2 linked regions of the Bombyx mori genome follow. The protein of the gene in region 2 interacts with the protein of the main gene of each other region in a biochemical or structural test. Links are inferred from orthologs where the notes say so. Each region holds a gene or a part of one and is shown on either strand. Other genes may lie near its edges. The genes, in order: trifunctional enzyme subunit beta, mitochondrial; hydroxyacyl-coenzyme A dehydrogenase.

Region 1 (4,436 bases), on a different chromosome or scaffold from region 2:
CGTTTCAGTTTGAATAGTAGGGTCTGTCTACTATATAACTGAGTTTAACAATTCATGTCTCAAGATGGGTATTTACGTTGATGTTGAAGGGCTCCGGTAACCATTTAACACCAGGTGGGCCTTACCCACCGATCTAGGGAATTAAAAATCAAATCTGTCACAAATCACAATTACAACATCTCCATTATGTGGAGAGATGGTGGATCAAGAGATATAAAGAAGTTTAAAGAAAACTAATGAATGGCTGAGTTATGACTATATGTACTCAAATCAATTTTTATTAAAAATGTTTAAAAAAATATTAAACATTTTGGTTGTTGAGTTTAAGATTGACGAGATATCTGTAGATCTTTATGATAATTAAAACACAGATGTGGTAATCATTATCATATACAAAGAATGAGATGCAACTATATTATAAAAAACACAAATAAATTGTAGCCCTCACCAGTGGTGATTGCCTGGTTAGAAGAGATGCAAGCCATGGTGACGGTGTGCGCTGGAGTCCTGTCGCTGAACCCAGCCGCCAGGGCTGCCTCGCGCCCTATATTTGAAGTTTTCACCTCTTGGATCACGGTGCCATATACAATGTAGTCAATGACATCCTTCGATATACCAGTCTTTTGTAGGAGACCACTATGAAAATAGACATAAGACACAAAATAAAGATCTCTGTAGTGTACTAGTGATGGTACTTATTCTCCTTCATAAAAAAAAATTACTAAGTGCTGGGTTTTTAAAACATAAACACACAGCAATCAATTAAGCAAATGACTTCATGGTTGTTGTGCAAGTATACAGACTTGGTGAAGATTGTTAAAAAATACAATTCTACCCTTCTTTCTTTTCAGGTTAAAATCTTACATATTTCATATACTGTCTTACATTACTTTAATATACATTAAAAATGAATATTAATAAAAGTCGTCATCGCCTAAAGGATAAGACGTCCAGTATATTAGTATTGATAGATGCAACGGCGTTCGAATCCACTTTACTTAACAAATGTTCACCACGATTGACTTCCATGGTGAAGGAATAACATCGTGTAATAAAAATCAAACCCGCAAAATTATATTTTGCGTAATCACTGGTGGTAGGATCCATTGTAAGTATGCACTGGTAGGTACCACCACCTCGCCTATTTTTGCAGTGAAGCAGCAATGCGTTTTGGTTTGAAGGGTGGGGCAGCCGTTGTAGTGTCGAGTTTCAAGGTGGGTGGCGGCATTTACGTTGTAGATATCTATGGGCTCCAGTAACTACTTAACACCAAGTGGGCTGTGAGCTCATCCATCCAACTATGCAATAAATAAATAAAATTAGTTGTGGCCTAGAGAATAAGATGCCCTGTGCATTATTATAGAGTAATGCTACTGTATCAGTTATCCAATCCCACAGTCAAGTACTAATTGGACAACAAAGGAATAACATAGAGCAAAAATACATCCTGTTTTTTTTTGTGTGATATTTATTTGTGATAGCAATTTGGCACCAAGTGGGCTCTGAGCTCGTCCAGCCATCTAACCAATAAATCCAGATACTTCAAAAAAGTAGCTCGCTCGTAACAGAATAAAAACACAAAAAAGAGGCCACCAGACTATGTTGGAAATTTGACGCAGTCAGTTGACATCACCAGTTAGATACCTAGAGAAAGACCCAAGATAAGTTGGTAGTGCTGAAGGAGAAGAGGGTATTCAATGTCACTGACGATGATGTCAAAGACAGCTAAGTAGAGGAGAAAATTAAAGAAAGCTGACCAACCAACATGTGATATACATAGTTAGAAAGAGGGAGACAGCGAGATTGCTTAACTATTTTAGTCCCTCTCAAAGTCTTATGAAAATAAAAAAATATATATATGTTAATCAAGATTACCTTTAATCTTGTCTTATTAATAAATCTTTAAAATCAACTTACAGAAGTGCATGTCTTGCTAGTTCATGGGGCATCATCCTGGCATAATCGGTGAATGAAACAAGGAATGGAGTGCGGACTCCATCGACAAGCACCACATTCTTGCCTGTACGGTCTGGGAGAGATTTCTTCTGCTGCAGTACTGGCGCTACACTCAGCGCTCGTCTGGCAGTATCTATTATAAAAAAAAGTCATTTTATATTACCACATAAAATATATTGGGCGAAAAGCTAAAAACTTGTCAATGTTTAGCCCAATTAAACATTCAAATACTTTTGTTTAGATCAAAAATAAAATATTTGTACAAATTCTAATTAAATCAGGTTCGGTTTCTATTACATGATGATGTTCCTTCATTGTGGAAGTCGTGTGTGGGCTGTGTGTATTGTCTGTGTACGTATTGTTTGTTCTATTTCATAGTAAAGTTTGTATGTTGCCTTAAATTTATTTTGTCTAAGAAATATTAGACAAAACATTGAAGTTCCAAAATAAATGTCAGGACAAAACATTTTCTATTAATATAATTTGGCAACAAACAAGCAAATTTATAAACAAGTCTGCCAGGATCACAGTCCAAAGTTTGCTTTTCAAAATTATAGATAAAACAACCGATTTGTTACATAAACATGTTTTAATATGCTTTGATGGTCGTAACTGGACTCTTGTTTTGGGACGTTATTGTATATTTATCGTAAATTAATTGTATAATTTGCAACTTACCGAACTTAACAGTAGATCGTACGTGGTTTGCTTTTATCAATGATTTAGCGACTTGTGAAGCCATTTTAGTACGGCACTTCGGACAATTTTTCTTTAAACAGTGAAGATTTCTGCAATAAAATGCTAACGTTTAAATATTAATTAAATTAAAATATAAAAACTTCAAAATAATTGTATTCTATTTAGTGAAAAAACTTGGAGAGTTGGACTCTGACCTATTTTACACCACAGATCAAGAAAGCGTTTTGGGGTTACCGCTTCATTTTCGTAAAAAGCCGCTATTGGTGAAAAGCTACTCTTTGCTATTTTCATTTTGTCTATTAAGCGGATGTAAGCGGAGGTTATGAATTAATCATACGATATCATAAAGTCATATCTATCAGACCATGGAGAGATAGCAAAATATCTTTTAAAACCAAAATGAGACTTGTCCGAACTCTAGTGGTCTCAATGCTTCTCTATGGTGCTGAGACGTGGACTCTGAAATCAGCTGATCGCCACCGCATTGGTGCCTTCGAGATGTGGTGCTGGAGGAAGATGCTATGAATCTCGTGGACAGCATATCGGACTAACGGATGGATATTAAGACGGTTCTATATCTAAACCAGGCTCTCTACCATCTGCCTCAAGAGGATATTTGACGATCTTGACGATTTTGAAAAATTTATAGTAACTGGGAAGATTGCAGGCAAAAGGTCTCGTGGCCGCAATCCAATGCGCTGCAGCGCTGGTCCGACCAAGCCCGCACTACTCTGGATACCACCGTCTACGATGCTATACACACCGCCGAGAACACAGAGGAAGATGGCGAAACATCATCTAGAGAAGGATAATGAGAGGAGATGGTCACGGTCTTCAGATATGAGGAATGTGACACAGGGAGGAGGATCATAAAATAATGCAAATATCAACTGCTACTTAATTCTTAACCCTGGTAGTGGCTGAAACATTACTTTTTTGTTTACAGGGAAGATTATAACCTGTGCTAACTAGGTAGTGCCTTAAAGATGGATTTTAGGGAAGTAGTACCAGTAGCTTGAAGTTTGTATGTAATCACGTTACCCACACAATCAGATTGTTACTATGCAGTATATTATAATTAAGATTCAAAAACTAATTTCAATACTTTCTATGATTAAAAACGTGATCTTTTCTTTTTCTAATTAATCCATTATCTGTTGTTTTTTTCTTTTTCTTGTATCACTGTAAATGTCATATTTGACTCTAAACATTTCGTTACAATTTATTTACGTCCATTAACGACTCGACTTTTAGCCACGATTGCTTTTAATCGTTCCCTATTTTTCTATGAAAAAAAGAGTGAAACTTTGTAACGGCTTTTAAAGACTTTAAAATAATCCTAAAAACTAAGCATGTCAATCAATTTTGTTTCATTTCCTCTAATTTCAGTACATCCAAACACTAAGCAGATCTATTATTTATTAGACACGGTTTTAACATGTTTAAGCCCTTTAATAATATTATTTAAGAAGCGCTGAGTTGGTCTGAAGTTTGAAACTGATGTCTACACTACAATTCATGCTTTCGCTTAAAAATACAAACAAATGCAACTCTTAGAACAAACAACAAATGCATCTATTTGTACTCTTCTTTTTTTTTCAGTATAGCAATCGAGATGCCATTGTTTGCCAGTTTCGAGGTTCTACAATTTTCAGACATGAACCCAAAACCAAACGTAATTGAGAATATAAGTATGTTACTAGTGTAAGGGCATTTTGTAGGCCGCAAGCTATGTACCATCACTCTGCCTATTACTGCTTCAAAGCAGTAATTCGTTCCGA
Region 2 (3,830 bases):
GCAGAAGCACAAGGCTTTGGTGAACTGGCTATGACTCCTCAGAGCAAAGGGTTGATTGGTTTATTCCGTGGACAAACAGAATGTAAGAAGAATAGGTTCGGAAAATCCCAAGTTGATGTAAAAACGGTAGGTTCTTGATAATTAAACATGATTATCACTATGTCTATTCATAATGCTTTGAAACAAAAAATAATGTGTAAATGAAATAGTTAAGCCATATATTAACTAACTAATAATCATGTTGCATTCTGACGATGAGCATGCAGTTAGCAATGATCTACAAGATCCACTAAATTCAAAAATTTCTAAAAAAAAAATTATTCCACACTCCACTTATGTCATTAGTGTATACGGCAGACTGTATGAAGGTAGTAGTTAAAATAGCTCGTCGTACAAGTAAGGAAAGCCGCCACTCATTTTAAGACATATAACGAAGTCGCCGTTGAATTAGAAAACCTCAGGTAACCAACAGTTAGCTCGCCCTTTCGTGGAAATGATGCCAACCCGAACAATTTTATGTAATTAAAGTAATTTAATAAGTAATTTGTTATAGTACTGATTGTTGATTCTGCTAATAAATTCAAAAGCCCATACTCCTTTGACACAACTTTTTAATTTGTCTAAACTGTAACTTTTAGTTAGTACTTCATTTTATTGAAAATTTTTATAGATTGGTGTTCTTGGTGCCGGTTTGATGGGAGCAGGTATAGTGCAAGTGTCAATCGACAAAGGCTACAATGTCGTAATGAAAGACGCCACTAATGCAGGCTTGTATCGCGGCGTTGGACAAATTCAAACCGGACTAAGTAATGCTGTGAAACGCAAAAGAATTTCATCGTAAGTAAATAATTAATTTTCGACTTCCCCCCTTATTTTACAGAGTTTTCATCAAATATGTATGTTGGATTAGAGCCAGGGATTCATTTACATTAATTTTAATTGCAGTCTACAAAAGGATAAGTACTTATCGAATCTACTTCCTACATTGGACTATGCCAAGTTCAAAAATGCGGATTGTGTAATTGAAGCCGTTTTCGAGGATATTAACATCAAGCACAAAGTTATCAAAGAGTTAGAGGCTGTAGTGCCGAAACATTGTATTATAGCTACAAACACTAGTGCTATACCTATTACAAAAATCGCAGCTGGCAGCAGTCGTCCTGATAAAGTAATTGGTAATTATCAAAAAATTATAATTTTTTTTCATTATTCTAGTATAAGTCAGTGACTCAAACCAGTAAACGGGGTTCAAAATATATATTTTTTAAGTTATTCATTATTGACATAGGGCCCGTAAATATTTCCGACACAAAAATACAATAATTAATTACTGAAAAAATATCTATTCGCCAAATCTAAAATCGACTCAACCACCACATTCAAAAAAAAAACAGATTTCCTTTTTGGCAATATAGCACATATAAAAAAACATAGCCTTCTTTTCAAAACTTTCATTCCTTTTTTAAATTACAGTAGAATCCGGATATAACGACCTTCAAGGGACCGGCGAAACTATGTCGTACTAACCGGATGACGTACAAAACGGCAGAATTATATCTTAAGTACATATGTTAAGTACATATGTTTATCCAACTCATGGAGCATGTAAAAATTTGCATGTCTAACTGTATAGCGAAAAATTGCTTTCTCTTGTAGCAGAGGTACATTCACGGGTATTCCCCAGTCGCGCTGAAGCTCGAACCACTTGAACAATGCCTTATCCACCGACTTATGAGTATAAGTCTATACACGTTAGTATTTTAAAACATTGGCATTAAACAGCGGCTCGATCTTGTCTTTATTCTCCTTTATTGTTGATATTGTAGAATGAGATACGCCAAACTCCTTTGCGAAGGTTGCATTTGTTTCACCGGCTTCTAATCTGAGTGAAGTTGGGGCACTGAGGTATTGGTAGTTTATGTAAACAAAACATTGTGCGTCGTTTTAACCGAACGTATCATCATAATATTCATAATTAAGGGTCGCTATAAGCAGTTGGTCGCTTAAAACGGAGTCGCACTAAACGGTTATATTTTCTCAGTACCTAACTATGAAACCTAACTTGAATAATCATGATCGTCGTTAAAAGCGGTTGGTCGTTATAAGCGAAGTCGTTGTATATGAATTCTACTGTACAATCTTAATTTGAACCTTTTTTTTTGTTTCAGGCATGCATTACTTCTCACCAGTTGACAAGATGCAATTGCTAGAAATTATTAAGCACCCCGGCACCAGCGACGATACATCGGCAGCCGCTGTGGCCGTAGGTCTACGACAAGGAAAGGTCGTCATCACGGTGGGGGATGGGCCTGGTTTTTACACCACACGTATCCTTTCTACTATGCTTAGTGAAGCAGTAAGGTGTGTTACATGTCATTTTAAAATTAATTAAATTAAACTAATTAAACCAATTTGGCTTCTAAAATGCTGGCAGTCTTCACAGAGCGAAGCAATATATACCGTTTGGGTAAAAACTTGTGCTTTACAAATCACAGTTTTGATATCATCTATACTAATACTAATACTAATATAATATTATAAAGAGGAAAGATTTGTTTGTTTGTTTGTTTCGAATAGGCTCCGAAACTACTGGACCGATTTGAAAAATTATTTTTCCATTAGAAGCCGACATTGTCCCTGATGAACATAGGCTACTTTTTTTAATTTTTTTTTTTATTTTTTTTTTTTGCTTTCATGTGTGTTTTAATGTTTCCGAAGCGAAGCGAGGGCGGGTCGCTAGTGTGAAATATTTATTTCATCCTCGGCTGGTAATCCATGTCAATTTAAGAGAGCTATCCAGATATACGATTTCGAAGATCATTTGTGGGGCATTTCATTTTTCTCGACTTTCTGTACTGTATGTACTGTGGAAGAGTGTTTTGAGGAATTATCTAAAGCTGCTACGATCATCTACAATTAGATTTCCAAAAATAAAATCTTCCACATGCCCCTGACTATGTAATAAACTCTGTTCCTCAATATTTCCTAAAACTAATAGTCAAATCAATTAATGAATCATTATTTCGCGGCGGTAATAAGCTGGTGATGCCTTTCCGTACGGTTCCAAAACACACACTAACATCAGTTAATTGCAATATCAGTATTTAACGATATATTTATCTATTTATTACTAATACATACTTTTTTTGTATAGACTGCTACAAGAGGGTGTTGATCCTAAAGAACTGGATAACATGACAAAGCAATTTGGTTTCCCTGTCGGCGCTGCTACATTGGCTGACGAAGTTGGTATCGATGTCGGCTCTCACATCGCTGTGGATCTAGCCAAGGTTAAAAATGTTAAAGGCTCTAATAGTAAATGTCAGAACTATTTTTGTATTTGTTAACTAAAACTATATTGCAATTAAAACAGGCCTTTGGTGATCGCATTAGCGGAGGAAACTTGGGTATCATGCAGGACTTAGTGCAAGCTGGATACATGGGACGCAAGTCCGGCAAAGGTTTCTATGTGTATGAAAAAGGCTCTAAAAACAGGGAAGTAAACCATGGTGCTATTAAAATCCTGAAAGACAAGTATGCATTAGAACCTCGTGGTGCTAATACTGTTGAAGACCAACAACTGCGAATGGTTTCCAGGTATTTTTGACTTCTTGTTTAAAATTATATAACATGACCATAGTGAAGTTAAGTGTTGTGGAGAATAATTATTCTTATTATTTATAACAGATTTGTAAATGAAGCAGTGTTATCATTGGAAGAAAAAATTCTACACAACCCCCTTGAAGGTGATGTTGGTGCGGTCTTTGGTCTCGGCTTCCCTCCATTTACTGGTGGACCTTTCAGGTAATTTATAAACTAGGTTTTAGGAG

The links.
Region 1: the proteins of hydroxyacyl-coenzyme A dehydrogenase (region 2) and trifunctional enzyme subunit beta, mitochondrial are reported together in a solved structure, tested with the Homo sapiens proteins (2 studies listed by IntAct, with this or other methods). The link is inferred for Bombyx mori from reciprocal best matches to the Homo sapiens genes HADHA and HADHB.

Annotation. Positions count from the first base shown.
Region 1 is NC_085126.1:9,562,050-9,566,485, reverse strand, and holds the start of trifunctional enzyme subunit beta, mitochondrial, read right to left. Parts: upstream 2,973-4,436; 5' UTR 2,850-2,972; intron 2,843-2,849; exon of another isoform or gene 2,821-2,842; intron 2,745-2,820; 5' UTR 2,699-2,744; coding exon 2,635-2,698; intron 2,090-2,634; coding exon 1,918-2,089; intron 637-1,917; coding exon 449-636; intron 1-448. UniProt on the Homo sapiens protein: Mitochondrial trifunctional enzyme catalyzes the last three of the four reactions of the mitochondrial beta-oxidation pathway.
Region 2 is NC_085110.1:11,342,623-11,346,452, forward strand, and holds part of hydroxyacyl-coenzyme A dehydrogenase, read left to right. Parts: coding exon 1-126; intron 127-670; coding exon 671-837; intron 838-945; coding exon 946-1,175; intron 1,176-2,168; coding exon 2,169-2,361; intron 2,362-3,154; coding exon 3,155-3,290; intron 3,291-3,373; coding exon 3,374-3,597; intron 3,598-3,687; coding exon 3,688-3,804; intron 3,805-3,830. UniProt on the Homo sapiens protein: Mitochondrial trifunctional enzyme catalyzes the last three of the four reactions of the mitochondrial beta-oxidation pathway.